4 linked regions of the Schizosaccharomyces pombe genome follow. The gene in region 1 interacts genetically with each later gene. Each region holds a gene or a part of one and is shown on either strand. Other genes may lie near its edges. The genes, in order: srs2, rad26, rad54 and pnk1.

Region 1 (5,575 bases):
TTGACTTACGAAATGTATTAATAAGGACGATTTGTATTTTTTTCGAATATATACAGGGTTCAAAAATGCATTTAGTGCTATATTTTGACAAGAAGTATCGCCTATTTGACCATTCCTGTACAGTCCATTAGACCATGCACTAGCCATCTAGTCCGCGTTCCACAAAAACAAAACAACACCTCGATAAGGCTTTAAGAGGGTAGAACAACGTGTCACATTTTTTTGAAACTCGAAGTATCCGAGATTTAGCTATGAAAAGATGTCGTTCTGAACATGTTCCTAGTAGGTTACCAAGAAAGAAGTGTAAAAATCATTTGGATAGTAAGTGAAGAATTTAGCGATTTTTTACTAAGCTTCTAAGTGAGATCTTTTCTTAGTTTGTTTGCAAGCAAAAAAAGTAATGCCCATGATGCCTCTTCTATCGTTTTAAATGAAAAGGTTAATTTTGTTACTGACAATGACCATCTGCCTTCATCTACCGGTGTTTGCGAATTTTGTGATAACGTATTATATCTTTCTACATGTGATCGCTGCCAACGAAATATTTGTCGAAACTGTAGTACTCTAATGTAAGTTTATTATCTGTATCTATTTTCAAGCTGACATTATATGTAGGTATTTTAAAGAAAACACCGTAGCAAGGTGTTTAGATTGTCTATAAATATAATACGTGATTTTGTACAACATGATATGACTATAACATTCGTGAAACTCGTAGCCTTACACCCAATCGTTTTCTCGAACCAGCAGGACGGGCACTCGCGACCTTAGTATTTGATTGATTAAGGTCAGTATGTTGCACAACATCTTGGTGACCTTCCCTCAACGTTCTATTTATTACCTGATCTTTCGTAGAAGGACCTCTACCAAGATTTTGTCTGACGCTGCTCATGAAAGAAGCGTTTGTCGTTGAGGCTCTTGTCGATACAATACGATTGACAGTTTCAAAACTTCGATCATTTAAATCTTTATTTGCAACCATTATGCTTGCGGACCTTGACGGCTCAGAAATCTCTACATCTGAATCGATTGGTTGTTTTTTCTCAAACCAACTTCGTATATCGGTTTTCGATCTCTTGGCATTATGTTTTCTAAAATTTGTTTCATCTTTATTATAGTCATTGACACTTTTGACTCGTTCTCTCTTTTTCAATTCTGCCTCAGCTAGAACACGACAGCATTGGAAGCCCAAGTTTTCGAATTTAGTTCCGTTATGATTTGCATTTGAACCAATACCGCTTAAATTAGTTATTTTCCCATAAGATTTCCGACCCAATATGGTTCCAATTTCAGAAGCAATCTTTTCATTAAAAACTATTTCACTTTCCATCACCCATCTTTTCATTTCTTCTCCTTTTAAAAATGGACTGACGTCCTGTACATTGTCTGAGTTCTGCATATCTGCAAACATTCCAGTGACGCTTTTAAAGGAAGATAGATACAGTAGCGCCTGTGCACGTGTGGCACCGACATATAGCAGCCTTCTTTCCTCGTCGAGGTCGTCTGAACGAGAATGAGGGATAATATTTTCACAAAGACAAGGTAAAAATACAACAGGCCACTCTAAACCCTTAGCTGCGTGAAGGGTTGAAATGGTAACCTTCTGAGATTCGCCCTCTTTCTGTTCTTCATTCACAAGAGCGATTTGAGTCAAAAAATTCTGCAATAGAACAATTGTTGATATTTTGTAATCTAATTCATAGAATATACAAGATATGTTATCGCTTTGTTGTACAAGCTCCATTACATTTTCCCATTTTTCTTCGACAGTTTCTTTATTTTTCCGAACCAGGTATTCGTAATATTTAATCTCAGAAAGTATTCCCAAAAGTAAATCACTAAGAGTTGCTGAGTGCCCATTAGACAAGTAACGATTTTCAAGTTTGGAGATTGAACAAAGAAAAGACTTTAAAGACTTTAGAAAACTCTTGTCATTTCTTTGAGAAAGTAAAATATTTTCATTCTTTACTTCATTTAAAGTTTGCCAAAAGGTCAATCCTCTTCTTTCACTTTCGAAAATAATACGGTCGATTTTTGTTTTGCCAATATTTCTAGGAGGGACATTGATGACACGAATTAAAGAAGTCGAATCTTTGTTAGCTAGGACTCTCAAGTAAGCTATTAAGTCTCGAATCTCTTCTCTATCAAAAAACTTGTTAACTCCAACCATGCGGTAGGGCACACCAAGTTCGGAAAGTGCATGTTCTAAACTTCTTGTAAGGCTGGAGGACCTTACAAGGATTGCGATATCGTTATAAAATATAAGCTCTGGACAAGAACCTACTATACGTTTAATTTCTCTAAAGAATCGTTAGTAAACTTTCATGCAATGAAGCCATACGAACCTTGCGATCCAGTAAGATTCTTTATTGTTAGTTTCAAACAATCGGTAATGAGGCTTTAAGGAAGAGATGTGATTACTTTTGAGCCCCTTCTTAGGCCTGCTTTTGTCCTGTGAAATGATAGACAGTGCTAATTCAAGTATAGGTTTAGCTGAACGGTAATTTCTTTCCAAATGAAGCACTTGGGTACCTTCAAAGTCTTCAGACATTTGGTTTAAGTTCCTAATTTCAGCACTTCGAAATCCATAGATTGATTGATCGGGATCGCCAACAATCGTGATATCTGAATTTTGCAATGCCAAAAGCTTAACAAGAAAATATTGGATTTTGCTAGTATCTTGAAATTCATCGATTAAAATATGTTTTATATTCCTCACACAATCTGGTTGCTTTTGAAGTAATAAAATAAAGTTTAAAAGCAAATCATCAAAATCCTAAATAGTTAGATATATACATACAACTTTATGCTTGTTACGTACCGCTAAATTGTTCTTCCATAAGGAAGTTTGATAAAGTCTATACAATTCAACAGATTGATGGCTTTGAAGCTCTTTAGGTGGTTCTTCCAGACCATTAATCAAACTCAACTGATCCATTCCAGGTTTAACAAGAAGACCGTTGGACTTTAATTTAGTTATGCGATTTAGAGCATTCTGAGGAGTCAATTCTTGTCCTCTAATACCAGAAGCAATCGGATTTTTAGCTTTCTTGAGAGAGTCTAAAAGTCGCTTCATAATAGCTTGACTAAATAGATCAGCAATGGTTGAAAGTGGAGAAGTAAAAGTTAGAAAAGTGTAAACAAGACATACGTATCATTTCTGTCAGCAATCAACCAATTTGAGGATAGCCCTATATGCTTGCCATATTTAACCAAATACTTGTACGCTATAGAATGAAACGTCCCAGAAATAAGCTTAGAGGCTTCACTATTCCCCAAAATAGCTTCAATTCTGAGCTTTATTTCATTTGCGGCTTTGTTCGTAAAGGTGGCTATAATTAAATCTTCGGCTGCAATATGGTTCTTTTGAAGTAAATAGGCTACTCGAGCGGTAAGAACACGGGTTTTTCCAGACCCAGGACCGGCTAAAATTTGAGTATACTTATGAGGACTCTGAACACTAATCCTTTGTTCTTCATTCAGAAACTTCAAGTATGATGATTTCGTTTCCATAATTGAGAAGAACAAAACACTCAACCGACAGCTTCAAATGTATATTTTAAAAAAGTGAGAAATAGGAAAACAATGCAAAGATTTTTGGCCAAACACGGTCTTTTCCGATGAGTTGTCGGGTAATAAATATTAAATTGTGAAACGATGACACGTCAAACTAAGAAAATTAACAAATACTTATTATTTTAACGAAAGCATAGCATAGGTGAAATAATTTAGAAGATCAACCCTTATTTAGTTGAAAACAACACTTGCAATTTCTTAGTATTCTCGATTGACCTACCAGCGCGAAAGGGCTGATACACGGATACGAAAAAGATTTTAATCCACCTGTTTTTACTACAAGAAATTTGAGTAAATCGTGAACGTATAACAAATGAAAGCCTTTCAATTCAGTATTCTTAAGTAATGATTTTATTGTGTGAAAACCTGATTTTGCGATTGTCTTAGTCTTGTGTTTCGACCTCCCAAAAGTGGTGTTAGTGCAGCAAAACGCAAATGATGAAGGCAAGAAAGCAAGATATATGTAACAGTGTGTTGTTCAGAAAATAATACCCATTGTCAAACGAACATCACAAACCGAATTACAATTTGAACGTATCAATATTATTCTTCAATTTATCTCATGTCACAAGCCATTCGTGAAGCAACTCATGCAGGATCTTGGTATTTGGATGATACAGAATTACTAACTAAGCAATTAAAATCATTTATCAAAAACCCAACGCCCGAGACTGGGAAACGGTTTGTCATTTCACCGTACGTATAGACAACTTATAATTTATGTGATATTCAGTATATAGCTAAATATTGAGCAGACATGCTGGTTACATGTATAGTGGGAAAGTCGCATCCCAAGGATTTCAGCAATTGGACTTTTCGAAAATTCAGAGAGTTTTTGTTTTTGGGCCTTCTCATCACATCTTTACTAGAAAATGCCTAGTCAGTCGAGCTAGCATCTGCTCAACACCTTTAGGTGATTTGAAAGTGGATGAAGACTGTATGTGAAAACAGTTTTGCTTAGTAGTTTTACTAAATTGCTACTGTCTATTTCTCAGCACAGATTATTTGCTAACTGGAAATTTATATAGTATGTCAGAAACTCGTCGCTAGCGATAACAGCTTCGACTCAATGACCTTGGATGTGGATGAAAGTGAACATAGCCTCGAAATGCAATTCCCTCTTTTAGCTTTTCATTTGCTGAAACAAGGATGCTTGGGAAAAGTCAAAATTGTTCCTATCATGATAGGTGCCTTAACTTCAACCACAATGATGGCAGCAGCGAAATTTCTGAGTCAGTATATTAAAGATGAATCAAATTCATTTGTTATATCTTCCGATTTTTGTCATTGGGGAAGAAGATTTGGATATACCCTTTATTTGAACGATACGAATCAATTAGAGGATGCAGTCTTAAAATACAAAAGACGAGGTGGCCCCACTAGTCCCAAAATTTATGAGTCTATATCTAATTTGGATCATATTGGTATGAAAATTATTGAAACGAAAAGTAGTGATGACTTTTCAGAGTATTTGAAAACCACTCAAAACACCATATGCGGCCGTTACCCTATAGAACTCATTATGAAATCTATGGAATGCGCCAATTTCTCTGAAAGATTCAAGTTTATTTCGTACGCTCAAAGTAGCCATGTTGAATTGGTCACCGATAGCAGCGTTAGCTATGCAACCGCAACCGCATAGTATTGTTGATATTTTATTATTATTTTTTTCATGACTTGAAACGGCTGATGCGAAACGATCATATATTTAAGTATTTGAGAGCCGAAAATTATCGGAACATGTATTATGCAACCTGTGTTTGTTAGTTATTATCATCAGATTCATACTCAGGAGGCTAATTTTGCAATGCTTTTTCTGATCTAGGCAAATTACGATAAATGAAATGCGCTTTATTTCTCAATTGCAACATTTACGAAACATACCCTTTTCCATTTATATAATTTTTTTGTTTTCTGTATGTATCAATTGGTCTCTCTTGAGAATTAATCAATTTTTAAATCTTTCTACTATGTATAAAACTACTGTTTTTGATATTCT
Region 2 (5,006 bases), 620 kb from region 1:
GGTAAGGAGGAAATTTTTGGACCCGTTCTTGCCGTCATTAAATTCAAGACCATCGAGGAGGCCATCCGTCGCGGTAACAACAGTACATATGGTTTAGCTGCTGGTGTACACACTAACAATATTACCAATGCCATCAAGGTCAGCAATGCTCTTGAAGCCGGTACTGTTTGGGTGAATTGTTATAACTTACTTCATCACCAAATTCCCTTTGGTGGTTATAAGGAGAGTGGCATCGGTCGCGAATTGGGCTCTTACGGTCTTACCAATTATACTCAAACAAAAGCTGTTCACATCAACCTGGGAATGGATTCTCCCATTTAAGGAAATCAGACGCAAATATTTTTTGTAAAAAAAATAAAAAAATATGCATTCAATGGATAAAGAATGAAGAAAAACTCTAGTGAAGAGAATTATTGGATTTTTCTCTTTATGTTATGAATGTTTACAGTTTTTCTTGAAACTCTTCTATGACGGATTTTCTTTATTATGAATCAAAACGGTTTTGATATTTGAACTTTCAAATGCATTTTATTGAATTTACATAGTGATGATTCTTTATGTTAGTGGTACTTTAATATATTCATTTTCGTTAATTGCTAGATGATTTTATTTGCAGGTAAATATAGCCGTAAGTTTTACTAAAAGAACGGAATGGGGATGTTTTTGTGGTACGCATTCCTTTGGGGAAACAGATTGATTTGTATTTAATTTGCGAGGATGTGGGTGCGGGACGGGAAAGAACAACACTGAAGAAACAAGTATCATTATTTCATTTGAAAAATTAGGGAAATAGATTCATCTGTTTCATTATCTAAAAATTAGTGTACAACTGCTCCAGCTCTTCGGGAGAGACGCAAACTTCCAACAATTCTGTAGTGAGAAAATACATTTCCTCACCCAAATTGCCAAACGCTTTTTGTTCAGTATCGCCGAATGCGCAGCATGCTATTGCATAAACGAAACGAGGTTGTAACGCATTTTCAGCTAACATAAATTTTGATGATAAATCTTCGGAAGATAAAATGTACAGAAGCCGAACAAGAGATACTAAAATCTCTACGCATTCATTTTGAGGGTACATTGACGAAAGGAGTTGCTGATGATACCAAGTGATGGCTAGTCCGATGCATACTATTAAGGGATTGCATACTTTTAAAATCTCTTTACCAATGTTTCCAGACATTTGTATAAACACGGTAAAAAAGGATATGACAAAGCGATGAAGCGTTATCCATTCATTCTAATTTGTTAGAAATAAGCAATGCAAAGATTATAAGCACAATTCGTAAACGTACCAATTCAGGAAAATTAATCCTTTCCCTAGTAGTAACAACTAAAATATGGGCCATAGTTGTGAAAAGTTGCATGAGTGATTCTTGGGATTTATCATCGGCATTTAACAAGTTAACTGAAGCGCAAAACGAAGGAGTGGTGGAACTAATAATTAAACAAACACCACATTTAATCAAAGAAGGAGCATTTTGCACTCGAATGCAGGATTCGAATAACGACGGATCAACCGCTTTAGTAATGTTTGCAAAGTCATCAGCACTTTCACGTGCTATAGATAAGTATAAATAAAGAAAATCTATTAAAACGTAAAACTTTGAGTCCAAAAAATTGCTTTTTTCGTATTCCTTAAGAAGAAAACCACTTATTAAAGAAACGACATTTTCCTGAAAGATAAAGGTGGATGATTTAGGGTCCAAAATTAATAATGCATTAAACAAAGATGTTATAGCAAAGGAGGCATTATATAATAATTTTTTCATTGAATAATTTAAAATCGACGATGATGTTTGAACGACAGATTGTACATAATTGGAGGAATCCATAGATAGATCGGGACTGTATATTAGAGCTTTCAAGTTATTAAACAAACATTCACCTTCCTCCTCTCCTTCAATTGTTTCTAATGAATGCATACAACCACCAAATACGTATGCTAAAGTTCTAGAAGACTAGAAAAGTAAGAAAAGGGAATAAAATTTAACACGACAGTTTAAAAATACTTACAAAATACAAATCTTCTCTTTTTTGTAGAGAAAGTAAATCTTTCATCAGGCTCAAAGACAAACTTGCATCTGATATAGCAATACTAGAACTCACACTATCCGTTGAAGCATCTTCAGCAGTAGCAACACTTGTTTTGCGCTTCTTTTTAGAAGGGCTGTTTTTTGCAGCATGCTTTGTGCTCTTAGCAAGCTGATCAGAAGAAGATAACAATTTATTGTCACCATCTTCTTCATGGGATTTTTTCATAATCGGAGAATTCTTTACATCTCTTTTCATTTTTTTCATAGTTTCGATAGCATCCTGTGCTTCACGCTCATGAAATAGGGATTTCGTTTTTGCGTATTCAATTTCTTTTTTAAGCTCCTCTAATTTCCGTTGGTATTCATCTTGCTTTTGCTTTATAGAATTATTTAACGATTCTAGGGCGGCATTATTAGCTTCGGATTGTTTTAGAAGGTTAGCACGAAGAATTGCATTTTCTCCCGACTTAATTAAAAGTTCTGTTCGAAGGTCATTAGAGGATAATGAGGCTTGTGAGTTTACGGTAGATTCCCGGACTTTTTGAGAAGAATTGGTGTATGAATTTGGAAGATTTAAATTTTGCTTTTGCTTTTCACTCGGTACAACTACTTGAGAACTTTGAGCTTGAACCTGGGTTTGAGCTTGTTGCTCTAATTCATCTAAATTCACGCCTTCAAATATTTCATCCGAACCCAAACTCTCCAAGTCAAAACTTTCATCAGCCATCATTTTGTTTGTAGCTTTCACTCTCGTTTATGCGTAACAATAGTTGTTTGAAGTGATTCCAAATTGTAATATGGGCCCAATGTTTTTCTTATTCTGTAAAAAAGAATTGAATTCATAATAAATCGTAAATTGTTTCAAATACTTTCAGCAACCTTGGTAACTGTAATTATCGTAATTCAGCAATTGGAAAACCTTAACAGTTAGTAAGCAATATTATGCAGAGAAGATAAGGCCGAAAAACCATATCTCTTTCTAGTATGAATACCACATACAAACGAAACACTAATAGCAGAATATGACTGCAGTCACTAAGGCTGCTTAATCGCGTAACTTCCTGTATGAATAATTGAACCCTTGTAGCAATATGAATTGATTTTGCAGAGCACCAACAGATATGATAAATAAGATAGTCTTTTCCAAAATGCGCAGCTATATAAGATGCTTTAACGATACGTTTAACTGCTATGAGTATTTCTTGTGATCTTTAATTTACTTGTTGAACTTGGCGTATTAGTGCATTTTGGTTAGCAATCGAATAGCCAACTTGAAGTTTTACGAGTTACGTAATCGACAATAAGACCTCAAGTACTGTAAATCACTATTAGCCAAAAATCAAGTATTTGAATTGTCAATAATAAAAAATAAATAAAATAAGTGTATGATGTTTGAATGCTTTTAAAAATAAAACATGAGAAAAATATTTTTTATACTTAAATTAAGGTGTTATGACAAATGGCTTCCATCATTTATTCGAATTAATAAACATAAAAGAATTAAAAAAATGAAAATATTATTAAAAAAGTAAGATCGAATTGTAGTCTAACCAAATATATCAATGGATAAAATGAAATAATTTGTTATTTTGTTTTATTGTAGAAATTATTAATTTCAATCTCTATTGAATACTCATAACCTCGAAAAATTTAAAAGTTATTTATTTTCAGACAGTCCAACTCCTAATCGTAGAACATTTTATAGTTTATGCTGGTTTAAACGGTTTATTGTTTCAACTCGAACAACAATGACAAAGCCTAAAATGATGATCATATGAATTAACGTTAAGTTCATTGTTTCTCCCCCATCCATTTACTATATTATCAAAAATAAAAAGGAAAAATCTAAACCAAAACACTTAAAGCGTTAATTATAAGTATGTTTAGGTCAATGACAGTCATATAAACATTGATTAAATTGATCAATGCAGTACTATATTAGTCATATTACCAGTCATTCAAATCGTATAAATTAATCCATGGCTAGTAAATTGTTTAGTGACAGAGATTTTTCTCTGACATGAAATCTGAATTATTTCTCTTGTGAATATCTTTGTTACTTTCTCAAGAGTGTATGTATGTGCCCTAGAATAGTGACTTCCTTTATCAAAACTTCGAGTTTATTGCCCTTAGGAAACGTACATAAAAAAGTTGAAAGTCATGTTTTTTCAACATAAAAAAACACAAACAAAGACTTAAATAAAACTAGTACCATTTATACAATAACATTACTTGAATTAATAAATTTAAGTGTATTTTTGCGGCATTATCTCAAGGGACTCCAGTAGATTCTACCACTTACCACCTGGCAAAAGCAACACTCCTCCATGTCTACAAAATCCTACGATTATTTAATCAAATTACTTCTCATAGGAGATTCAGGTGTGGGAAAATCATGTCTTCTTCTGAGATTTTCGGAAGACTCGTTTACCCCTTCTTTTATCACAACGATTGGAATTGATTTCAAGATTCGCACGATTGAACTAGATGGAAAACGTATCAAACTCCAAATTTGGGACACTGCTGGCCAGGAACGTTTCCGTACCATTACCACTGCTTATTATCGTGGTGCAATGGGTATTTTATTGTTATACGATGTAACTGATAAAAAATCATTTGATAACGTCCGAACTTGGTTTAGTAACGTTGAACAACATGCTAGTGAAAATGTTTATAAAATCCTTATTGGAAATAAATGTGATTGTGAGGATCAGCGTCAGGTCTCCTTTGAACAGGGACAAGCGTTAGCCGATGAGCTGGGCGTTAAATTTTTAGAAGCTAGTGCGAAGACGAACGTCAATGTAGATGAGGCATTTTTTACCCTTGCCCGGGAAATAAAAAAACAAAAGATTGATGCAGAAAACGAATTTTCCAACCAGGCAAATAACGTTGACCTCGGAAACGATCGTACGGTGAAGAGGTGTTGTTAGGCTCCTTATTATTATCTTGTCACATTTTCTTTTTCGCTAG
Region 3 (5,382 bases), 150 kb from region 1:
TCCGTTGCCAGCAAACTTGATATTTGTCGATTGGCTTTATAATCCGGGTCTAACTACTATTGAATGTTACTATTTTTGTTAAGTAAATATGCATATATAATATTTAGAAGTAATATATAAGATTGCAAATGAAACAACCCTTAAATAAATAATTGGTTATGTAAGCTTCTACCTATATTGGAACATTCACGAGTTTGAACGTCCAAAGTATTTAGACATAAGCAATGTTTATATAAGCTATTAGAGTGACAAAAAGCATATAAGATGTATGCAGTTTGCCTAAAAGTAGCTACATGGTTAATAACAAAAATTCGAGACATCCCAATCTTAATATAGAAAAGCAGTGCTAAAACTGTCACGGGTTCGAATACTAACAAATGCAATTTCAAATGTTTCAGAAAAATATGACAAATTATATGCTCTTAACAATTGAATATAACATTCTAAAAAAAAAAATTTATTTCAGCATACCTGTAAATTCGTAATAATTTTGTCACAAAGCTTACCAAGGAGTAATTGAGGTTTGGTAGGATACAATTGAGGGTTGGATATTAATTAAATTAAAAACTATATTTTAAAAACCGGAATTAAATTCATGATATTGTTTTATGCATCGAATAGCAAATCAAACAGGGATAAAGAGAGGTGAGAGTAGTTTAAAGACAAATCAAACTAAATGAAAATATGAGGATTTGTGAAGAGAGCAGCGTAATTAAACACGTAAAAATTAATGAGATTTGTATTGGAAAACGGTACTCACTTGCTGTTTTCCTGCCTCACGTTTTAGCAAGTGATCTTCTATTCGGTCTAATGTGGGATTTGTAAAATGATTCCATGTGCTAGTATCACCGTATAACATGGCTGGGGCTCGGATGAATTGTTTTCCATCACGACACCGTTTACATTTATATGTTTCATGAGTTTCACAGACTGTGTGATCGTTAAGCTGAAACAGCTGCCTTAAGTTATCAAGCGAAAAATGTCTTTCGACATCTTGAGCTTCATCCACAACACAAGAAGACAAAGATTGCTTATGAGACTGCCTTTGGAATATCTTTTCTTCGATGGTTCCAGTAGCTATGAAACGGTAAACAAAGCAGTCCTTCTTTTGCCCATCACGCCAAACTCGAGCTAAAGCTTGTTGATCGGCGGCTGGATTCCAATCGGGATCAAACAGAATAAGACGATTAGCGCCAATAAGGTTAATACCACAACCACCTGCTTTAGAAGATAATAAAAACACAAAAGCATCCTTTTCCGGGTCATTGAATGTGTCAACTAAACGTTGTCGTTTATTTACATTCATAGTACCATCTAGCCGAAGAGCCTTGTAACCGCGAGCTCTACAAAGCTGCTCAAACAAGTCAAGCGTGGAGGTGTAATTGCTAATTAAAACAATTTTATCGTCTGTCTCTTGTTTTATTTGATAGAGCATTCGTTCCAACACTAACATTTTACCTGATAAAGAGGAGTCAATGTTTCTATCGCGCCCTCTTAGCTCACGGGGAATAAATCCTGGAGGGAATAGAGCCTCACAACCTTCCAAGTCCTCAGTTAAATTCAATAGATCAGGATGATTACATATTTTTTTTAGCAGACCTATAGCTTTTAGTGGTTGACTGCCGGTCCCCCTTAAGATTTTATTGATTTCAGGCGAGGTAATAAAATGCTTGTACAAAGAAAGCTGAAATTCGGAAAGGTTGCAAAAGACAACATGTTCGTATTTAACAGGCAAATATTTGGAGAGAATATCATTCGTACGACGAATAATAAACCGATTGACAATCTTGGCTAACTCAGCTAACTTAGCATCACCATTCTCCTTATCTTTTTCTGTTCCGTCAGCATCACGACCTTTTAAAATTGGAATTTCATAATTTTTTCTGAACTCTTGCCTTGAACCTAACAACCCAGGATTCGCAAAATTTAACAACGAAAAGTATTCGCTTAGATCATTTTGAATAGGGGTACCAGAAAGGATGACACGCCTTTGAACGTTTAGCTTGTCTAATGCCGTAAAAGTCAAAGAATCACTATTCTTAAGACGATGACCTTCGTCACAAAGAAGCATTCCAATTTCTGCGTTGTTGAGATGCTCAACATAACTTCTAAGGGTTTCATAACTGGCAATAAGCACTGGACGTGTGACTTGTCGTCCATGTACGGATGCCCATTGTTGCAAAGCCATGATTAACTCCTGTTTGGAGCTTTTACCGTCCAATATGAATGGAGTAATAGCATCTTTTCCTAACCATTTGACAAGTTCATTAGCCCAATTTTTGACTAAAGAAGAAGGACAAGTTATAATTGCCTTTTCAATTGTCGGTTTTCCAGCCTGAGGAGACTGTTTTAAAAGGGTCCATAACAAAGCAATACATTGAAGTGTCTTACCAAGTCCCATCTCATCTGCCATAATACATCCATTTGCACAACGGTCAATCCTTCCAGTTACACACTTGTACAAGAATTTGACACCTTCTATTTGATGAGGTCTTAGAATACGAGCAAGTTTTGGATCAATGACAACAGCAACAGGAGGAGGTGGAGGTTTTTCTTTCTGAATTCCTAGTAGATCTTTCAAACTTTTATTTGGTCTTCTATGCTTTGAGGTATTAGAGGTTATGAGACTTTGCTCGGTAGAACAGCTAGCCACTGTGTCAGTGGAGACACATGAATCATGGTCACTTTCAGGCTCACTATCAGAAATTTCTTTCTTTCCTTTTCGATTTTTTAACAATTCATCTTTTTTACGTTTTTCCGCTAAGACCTCTTTTATATCAGGAATGATCTCATCTGCATCAGTAGTGGGATCATATAAAACGATAGCAAATTCATCAGCAGGATCGTAAAGGGGACGAGGAATAAAATCCACCTTCCTTTTCATTCCCAGTGTAGGAGGTGGACGATGTGCACACAGTTTAGATATATCTTCATGACCCTTGATAGGTTTAGGCACAGAGAACTGTTTCTTAATGACTGTTGAGGGATCTCGTCGTTCATGATTTAGTATTAATCGATTAGCTTCTTTGATGGTTGCCAACCCAGACACATTTTCAGATACGTAAGCTGAATCATACTTCCCATCAACAGAACCATATTCGCTGTAGTTAACTCTTGGCTTTTTGCGTAAAGGAAGCTCTTTTCGCTTTTCTGAAATCACTAAAGAAGGGCATTTAAACTTTTTAAACAACTTTCCAGGAACATTCTCTTTGTTTTTTGATAAAACAGTATTTAACTTTGAAGAAGTAGAAATTCTAGGTTTAGCAGTTGTTGGTTGCTGAATCATTAAATATATTAGCAATTATTAAAAAAGAGATTACTGAAATAGAAGAAAGGGTAGGAAAAGAGGGATAAGGATTCAAACAAAAAAAAAAGGAAAGTGCTGTTTATACCAATGGTATGTGTTGAGAAATATCTAGATGTATATATAAATTAAATTCTATTACTATTATAGCGTGTCGCGTTCTTTAAATTACGCACCATTGTTACCCTTCACTAAACATGGTATACAAATAATGAAATTGTGAAATATGAATCAATTATTTCTGGTATCGGCTAAATATGTGTTACAAGTTTGTTATTGGTAATAATTTTAGCTTCACTATCTAACATTTCTTGTAGCAAATTTTATGGTTTACTAATACTTCGAATTATTAGCCTCATAACATTTGCGATAAATCAAGTAACTATTTTAAACTAAAAGTAAAATAATAAAGCATCAGTCTCTAACAAAAACATTACGGGAAATAAAAATTAGCTAATCTACTATACTATTATATCTTCATAGTCAATAAACCCCCCAAAAAAACATAGTATTACTATATTAAATACATTCCCTAACATTTGACAAAAACCTCGAACTTTACTTCTTACCTCCATCCTTTTCATAGTTTTCTGTCTTCATATCGTTCAGACCCAATTCCTCATTTACTTGGAATGAACGTTCATACTCCTCAATAGTCATATTTGGATCTGGATCGGGAGCGTAATAATTCTGCAGATAACTTTGTGAAAGAGGATCATCTAAAATAAGAGTGAATTGAGTAGCACCCTCACGTGCAGCCGTCAAGTTGCAGAGAAATTGTTGCCAGTTAGCGACTTGCTCAGGAGTCATAGAATCGGTCTCCTGAGAAAACACACGGCCATATAACTCATCATAAACTTGAGCTAGAAGACCTTCAATGGTTGTGAATCGTCCACCCAAAGTACCTGGGAACAAATCAAGTCCAAGTTCAGGAATTTTAAGAGATGCGGTTTCAGATTTGAGAATATCACGGGATAAGTCCTCGGCATCCATGACCTTTAAAGTAATTTTTCGACCTTTGGGTGGAATTTCACCACCAGTTTTTACTTCGTTGGAACGATATCCACAACGATCACAAACAGTAGACATGATAATAACTTCTTTGAAATGGGGAATATCAAGCAACTTCATGTGGGTGTCACATTGATGTGAACAAGAGGGACAAGTTGCATGGAAGGTATGTACCTCATTGGGATCGACTTCCACAGCAGTAGCATCATGTTTAAGTGTATTAGAAGCGTTGTTTGTTTGTGTCTTGACGTCTTCAGGTTGATCAGTATCCACAAGACCCAGCTTCGTATTCTGCTCCAAAGTACGCTTGTAGCTAACCTGAGACCATCGGTCACCATCTCGGCCAGGTTTCATCTCGATCCAGCTGTTGCCCGTAATATCGTCAACTGTGATGGTAAATGGTACAGATCCAGAACGTAGACTATTCACTTTCTCAATGAAAGCATTTATTTGGTCATATAACTGAGGAGCAGACTCCTTACGAGATTCTTGTTCTTTACTTAAATCATCCACCACATTACTCAGAATCCCCTCAATGGTAGTTAACTGGCCTAACCTTCCCGGGATTTCTAGCTGAATTTCAGGAATACTGACAATAGCCTCCTGGCTCTTTACAACTGTCCGATTTAAATCTTCCTTATCCTCAACATGGAAAGTAATTTTGCTTCCTTCCGGTTGAATTGTCTCAGCGTGTTGAACTTGCGCATTCTTAAACCCACAATGAGGACATTCAAACGACATTAAAACAACCTCACGGAAGTATGGAATGACCGTCAACAATAATTTAGTAGTACCGTTTTTTCCACACTCCATACACAACGATTCGACTTCTTGAACACCATTTCCTTCCCTATCCTCAGCTGTTGACACATTTTGTGCAGCATTGCCAATACTTGTGAACAATTCTTCCTTTTTTTCTTCCGCCATGCTCTCAAATTTTCTTTTTAGCGTTATTTTGATTAGATGTGTTTAAGGACAAGTACAGAATAACTTGTACCAATATAAAATTTGTCTTCACTTGAATGGAAAAAATTTTCCTTAATGACCCAATATAAACTGTCTTTAAT
Region 4 (5,949 bases), 1.7 Mb from region 1:
AGAACTTCGTCGTTTTCATCAACGAAGTTGAGACAACCATCGTGGGGAACGAAAGCGGTAACTTTCTTACCATTCTTGATCAACTGAACACGAACACATTTACGAATAGCAGAGTTAGGTTGCTTAGCTTCTACACCAATCTTTTCGACAACGATACCCTTAGCATGAGACGATCCACCGAAAGGTGATGACTTGTAAGCGGTTCCCAATAAGCGCTTCTTGTAATGAGCATCGGCCCAACGCTCCTCACGGCGATGATTGCGAAGCTTACGAGCGGCGTTCAATCCTGCGGGTTTTCCCATTTTGTAGTATAGAGGTTGCGGCGAACTGTGTGTTGGATTTAGGTGAACTTAGCTTTATGTCCAAAACAGTCACAAACCCTACCCTTCTTATATAATATAGTACGCAACGCTTCACTAAGTAAATTGTTGATGCCCATACTTACTAAAATTTTACTACATTACAAAAAAGAAAAAACATCTAAAACAAAAAACATACGTCTTTTTGATTATTTTGGAAAAAGGAGTTGCAAGTACTTTGCAAAAGGTTTGGTGTGTAATATTTAAGCTCAATTGGTATTTATTTGTTTCGTACTTGGAATACTTCCAAGATATTTAGTCAAAGTTTTGTGAGATTTAAAAAAAAAAAAAGATTTGATATGACTGAACTTATAAATTCCGAGCCAACACTCTTTTTGTTCCCGAATAAAGAGGATTCAAAGCAATTGGTTGAAAAAGCTATTGAGGTTTTCTCAAATATAAAAATCCCATCTACAAGTCCCATCCAAACAATTGTCACAAAAGGATTAGATAATTGGCAAATATATAACCAACTAGCATTAGCTGCCAAGTATGCATTAGATGATCTCCCTCAAGTTGATGTTGAAAACGAAGACGAAGAAGAAGATAGCATTACTTCTTTCCAGGATGAGGATGATGAAACAAGTCATCAGGAACTCTCTGACAATAGTGAAATGAACAATCGGGATGATGCTGATGATGAATTTTTAGGGTTCTCTGGTCCAGAAAATCTAGAAGATGTCGACGAAAGTTCTGCCGAAGATGTTTCAGGAGATGAAGCTGAAATTATGAATGAAGAAGGACAACAAATCGAACAGAAAAAAGACGCATTTGGACTTAATGATGGTTTTTTTGATATTGATAATTTTAACAAGCAAACCTTAGCTTTAGAAGAGGAAGCAGTCGAAGAGGGTGTCCTCGGCGATGAAGATGACGGTATTGACTTGTTAATGGATCCCGATGAGAATATGGAAGACTCTGAAGATGAATCAAATGGTCCTCAGGCTGACTCCATTATGTACGAAGATTTTTTTGGTCCAAAAACAGCGGCCGGTCGCCGTGAACTAAAAAAGAAAAAGGCCGAATCCAAAAGAAAAAGAACAAGTAAACCGGATTTCAAAAATGATGTGCAACAAAATGTTATTGAAGAAAATAATGAGAGCTCTGACAATGAGTATGCTACCTTTGATCGAGTGAAGAAAGATTTATTTGCTAGTGACGAAGAAGACGATGTTTCAGCTGATCAATTATCTTCTTATGAGCGCGATAAAGCCCGTTTGACTCAGCAAATTCGTGAGCTCGAGGCTGAAAACGTTGCCAAGAAGTCCTGGACCATGATGGGGGAGGCAACGTCTAAAGGACGACCTTCTAATTCACTGTTAGACGTTGATTTGGAATTTGAAACTGGTGCTAAACCTGTCCCTGTACAAACGGAAGAGACTACTGAGACATTAGAAGATTTAATTAAAAACCGAATTATTTCCAAAACATTTGATGATGTACCTAAACGCGCGCCAGTTGCTGTTACTGAATTTCGACCAAGCGAATTATTCGAGTTAAACGAAAATAAGTCTCAGCGTTCTTTAGCAGAAGAATATGAAGAAGAATTCCTTAAAAAGAGCAACGCCGACACATATAAGAGTGAAGCTGATAAAAAGAAAGAAAAAGAACATGAAGAAATCAAGGCATTGTTTTCGGAAGTCAGCCGCACTTTAGATTCTCTTGCTTCTTGGCATTATGTTCCCCCTCCTCCTGAGTCTACTGTTGAAATTGTTTCTAATGCACCCACTTTAGCAATGGAGGACGTTCAGCCAACTGCTGCCTCTGACACTATGGCATTGGCTCCTCAAGAAGTTTATAAACCGTCTAATGAGAATCGTGAAGGTGAAACTATTACTCGGTCAGGTATCGCCATTTCATCGACTGAAATGGACCACCAACAAAAGCAAGCACGCCGCAGGCGGGTGCGTAGAAAACATGCTGAGAAACGTAAGCAAATGGCTGAGAAAAGAAGGAATTCCGGTACTGAACAAGTCGTTCGTCAATTATCAAAATCGAATGTTGAGGTCATTGGTAAAGGAGGTGAGCGCAAAAAGGTTGCAAGTAATTCAAACAAATATCATCCGATTGTTTCTTCAAATCAGCTAAAGCTTTGAAGATAAATTTCGGTGTTAAGTGTGCTAGTCATAATTTTTATAAACGTTTGGTTTTAGTGGGATCAATAACTATATATTTTTGAAATTAATGCAATTTAATAATTTCTTAGATATCATTCGTATTATTCGTACCAATAATTCCATGTATCTTCATAGTCTTTAAGGCATTTAAAAGGAACTTCTTCAACATTTGTAAAACCTTCTTCTACTGTTGGCATTTGAAAACGAGATTTGAAAGAATTAAACGCTATCTCGGGAAGTTGTTTTTGCTAGAATTGGTTAGGAATTCTTCTAAGTCTTTCTAATGCTCCAACAGGTAACTTACGTTATGGTGAATGTAACGGAAAACGTTGTTGTGTCTGGCAAGTTCCTCAGATGACTGAAGATGAATGCAGCGTATAGGGATCTCAAATTCTTGGGCTATGTCAATCCACATTTTTCGTGATTCTATTGTAGGGTTTGTGTTGTCTGAAATCGCGTAAGTCGTTGAAATGATCGAGTACATACCTATGACAACCGATTTTTCTTTTTTAAGTGCCTCTATGGCAGCCTTGATGCATTTTGATTTCGTTTTTAAGATGTCTTGATTTACCCTTTCGTATCCTTGAGTGACAATCTGAGATTCAGCTAAAGTACTCTTCCCAGAAGAAGGAAACCCAACTAAAACAACAATTTCTTGATGCTCGGATTTTTTAAAATGGTATGGATGTGAAGAAGAATTTCTTACAAGGTAATTCTTTGGATGAAATGATTCAAAGTTTGGAGGCACAAATGAATGCCCCAAGAAAAATTGCTCGGGCGTCTCAAATTTAATCCCAATGTTTTCAGCAAACTTTAAATCAGTTGAATTATGATCACCCGGACGGCCTGCAGCATCACCTACGTATTTGATGAAAGATAAATCTAAAGGGTGAAAAATGTTAATAGGCCTTGATAAATTACAAGCGTCAACTCACCAATTGAACGGTTCACGTCTTTTAAAAAGGAATTCCACATTCCTGTCAATGGTTTTCTAAACTTATCTTTCAAGATGGCAGCATACAATACAATAGGTAGATCTAATGACTCAAAAATAGCACGAATCTTCATCTGAAAGGTATGTCCGGCAGAAGGTTTTCTTGGAATTCCGTTTTGATTACTGAAAATAACAAGAGAATAATTGTCTTGGTATAAAGCCTTCAATTTTGGGACAACGCTTGGATGCCACCAGGTCCAGTCAGCTGCATCTTTTGAAAATACTCTACCAGATTTAGTTTTTATGAGCGTTCCATCTAAATCAAATGCAATAAATTTTTTAGTCTTTTTTAGTTTTCCATACTTTGCTATGTATAATGAATCGGTGATGCTCCATTGAATTTCTATTTTCTGTTGAAGGCATGTCGAGGATGAATCAGAATCTTTGTTTTGAGAGCCGTACTTTTTTGAGGATTTAGACGATTTTTCAAAATATGAAGTTAAAGATTCCTGGGGGGGAGACTTTCTTTTTTTCGACGACATCGCGATTGACGAAATACTAAATGGGACTTGGTAATTGAGTTAGCTATATTATAATTGCATAGCAATGAAAATGGGTGGTTTCAATAACATACTTAAAAATGGATAACAGATGAAAATTTTATTTTTCGCTCTATTGAATTTTCAATTGTTTTTGATCAATTACATAAAATGCCTCATATACAACAATTAGTGAGAAGATATATTATATCATATAGTCCTTAATCGAAGATTTAATATGTTTACTGACTTGAAAATAATTCTTATTCGAAGAAATTTAGACAATAAATAACAAGAAAATTCTTTAATTTATTCGTCTAATTTATTATTTGGCAACCATTCAAAGATTTCACAAATAACATATTTGAGACCTACATCTTATTCATTAACAATTGCATATCTCGTTATTTACGAACATTAGTTTTTTTTTTTTGGTATCGTTTAAAATTAAACCGTTTATTTTTAAACAAAAAATGAAGGACATCGGCAATATTTTGTTTTTATGTATGAGCTTTTTTTTGCATTATTTTTTCGTTTGTCATTTATCTTTTTTAGTAGCTGATCTGGAATTTAAAAACAAAAATTTCCATAATTAATTAATTTAAATATTTCGTATATTTTTATATAAACATTATGGCTTCTACTGCATCAGCCAAGAATTTACTGATCGCAAAATCAGTATTCCACAAGATCCATATCGACAGAAAAGAAACCTGCATACAAGGCTAATAAATATCTTTGATTGTGTTTAATATAAAAAATTGATAAATTCTCGTAAAACAATTTAATTTTAATAATTTATTTGTGCTAAATTTTTATCATGTTGTGGAAATCTCCTTTACTATCAATCATTTAATAAAGTATTGCTAAAGAAAGTAACTTTATAACAGTATTACCCTATGTAAGATTCACAAATCCATCTTTATGCTGTATAAAATAAAAACATGCGATATTAAAAATATAAACCTGTTCCTTAGAAAATTTTATAAATTAATATAAGATTTTTTGTATACATTGAGTTACAAATTTTGTAGCAGATGTTGCGAATTAGTGCACATTGCAACCTGTACTTAACCAAAAACACTTTTCAGTCATGAGTGAATACACTACCCGTGAAGTTGGCGCTTTGAACACATTGGACTACCAAGTCTATGTTGAGAAAAATGGTACTCCTATCTCTTCTTGGCACGATATCCCCTTGTATGCCAATGCTGAGAAGACCATCTTGAACATGGTCGTTGAGATCCCTCGTTGGACTCAGGCTAAGCTTGAAATTACCAAGGAAGCTACCTTGAACCCTATCAAGCAAGATACTAAGAAGGGTAAGCTTCGTTTCGTTCGTAACTGCTTTCCTCACCACGGTTACATTTGGAACTACGGTGCTTTTCCTCAAACCTATGAGGATCCTAATGTTGTTCATCCTGAAACCAAGGCCAAGGGTGATAGCGATCCTCTCGATGTTTGTGAGATCGGTGAAGCTCGTGGCTACACCGGCCAAGTCAAGCAAGTTAAGGTCTTGGGTGTTATGGCCCTTCTTGACGAGGGTGAGACTGACTGGAAGGTTATTGTCATCGACGTTAATGACCCTTTAGCTCCTAAGCTTAATGATATTGAGGATGTTGAACGTCATATGCCTGGCTTAATCCGTGCTACTAACGAGTGGTTCCGCATTTACAAGATCCCCGATGGCAAGCCTGAAAATTCCTTTGCTTTCAGTGGTGAATGCAAGAACCGTAAGTATGCTGAAGAAGTTGTTCGTGAGTGCAATGAAGCTTGGGAGCGCCTTATTACCGGTAAGACTGATGCCAAGTCTGACTTTTCTTTGGTCAATGTTTCAGTCACTGGATCTGTTGCCAATGACCCTTCCGTTTCCAGCACTATTCCTCCTGCTCAAGAGCTCGCTCCTGCTCCTGTTGATCCCAGCGTTCACAAATGGTTCTACATTTCTGGCTCTCCTCTTTAAGTAGTAGTATCACACTATAATATAGAATATAGACTAT

Evidence for each region.
Region 2: mutations in srs2 (region 1) and rad26 are lethal when combined (synthetic lethality), as found in Schizosaccharomyces pombe (3 studies listed by BioGRID, with this or other methods).
Region 3: mutations in srs2 (region 1) and rad54 are lethal when combined (synthetic lethality), as found in Schizosaccharomyces pombe (3 studies listed by BioGRID, with this or other methods).
Region 4: mutations in srs2 (region 1) and pnk1 impair growth when combined (synthetic growth defect), as found in Schizosaccharomyces pombe (2 studies listed by BioGRID, with this or other methods).

The regions. Positions count from the first base shown.
Region 1 is NC_003424.3:3,830,713-3,836,287, reverse strand, and holds srs2 (UvrD subfamily ATP-dependent DNA helicase), read right to left. Parts: upstream 4,010-5,575; 5' UTR 3,514-4,009; coding exon 3,152-3,513; intron 3,087-3,151; coding exon 2,822-3,086; intron 2,802-2,821; exon of another isoform or gene 2,777-2,801; coding exon 2,346-2,776; exon of another isoform or gene 2,301-2,345; coding exon 695-2,300; 3' UTR 662-694; coding exon of another isoform or gene 616-661; 3' UTR 570-615; downstream 1-569. Other genes in the region: SPOM_SPAC4H3.16 (uncharacterized protein), read left to right, coding at 252-321, 362-569, 616-661; SPOM_SPAC4H3.04C (uncharacterized protein), read left to right, coding at 4,139-4,272, 4,332-4,513, 4,605-5,218. UniProt on the Schizosaccharomyces pombe protein: ATP-dependent DNA helicase involved in DNA repair at least for UV-induced lesions. Also aids the recombinational repair of camptothecin-induced collapsed replication forks.
Region 2 is NC_003424.3:4,448,875-4,453,880, reverse strand, and holds rad26 (ATR checkpoint kinase regulatory subunit Rad26), read right to left. Parts: upstream 3,277-5,006; 5' UTR 3,036-3,276; intron 2,956-3,035; 5' UTR 2,767-2,955; coding exon 2,017-2,766; exon of another isoform or gene 1,962-2,016; coding exon 1,296-1,961; intron 1,241-1,295; coding exon 812-1,240; 3' UTR 512-811; downstream 1-511. Other genes in the region: atd1 (aldehyde dehydrogenase), read left to right, coding at 1-321; GTPase Ypt2, read left to right, coding at 4,364-4,966.
Region 3 is NC_003424.3:3,679,860-3,685,241, forward strand, and holds rad54 (DNA repair protein), read right to left. Parts: upstream 3,407-5,382; 5' UTR 3,287-3,406; coding exon 728-3,286; 3' UTR 501-727; downstream 1-500. Other genes in the region: EF-1 alpha-binding zinc finger protein Zpr1, read right to left, coding at 3,863-5,242. UniProt on the Schizosaccharomyces pombe protein: Plays an essential role in homologous recombination (HR) which is a major pathway for repairing DNA double-strand breaks (DSBs), single-stranded DNA (ssDNA) gaps, and stalled or collapsed replication forks.
Region 4 is NC_003424.3:2,135,487-2,141,435, forward strand, and holds pnk1 (DNA kinase/phosphatase Pnk1), read right to left. Parts: upstream 3,982-5,949; 5' UTR 3,953-3,981; coding exon 3,412-3,952; exon of another isoform or gene 3,389-3,411; intron 3,359-3,388; coding exon 2,963-3,358; intron 2,924-2,962; coding exon 2,781-2,923; intron 2,725-2,780; coding exon 2,578-2,724; 3' UTR 2,456-2,577; coding exon of another isoform or gene 659-2,455; 3' UTR 548-658; downstream 1-547. Other genes in the region: rps23 (40S ribosomal protein uS12), read right to left, coding at 1-302; mpp10 (U3 snoRNP-associated protein Mpp1), read left to right, coding at 659-2,455; ipp1 (inorganic pyrophosphatase), read left to right, coding at 5,043-5,912. UniProt on the Schizosaccharomyces pombe protein: Catalyzes the phosphorylation of DNA at 5'-hydroxyl termini and can dephosphorylate its 3'-phosphate termini. Has a role in the repair of breaks in single-stranded DNA.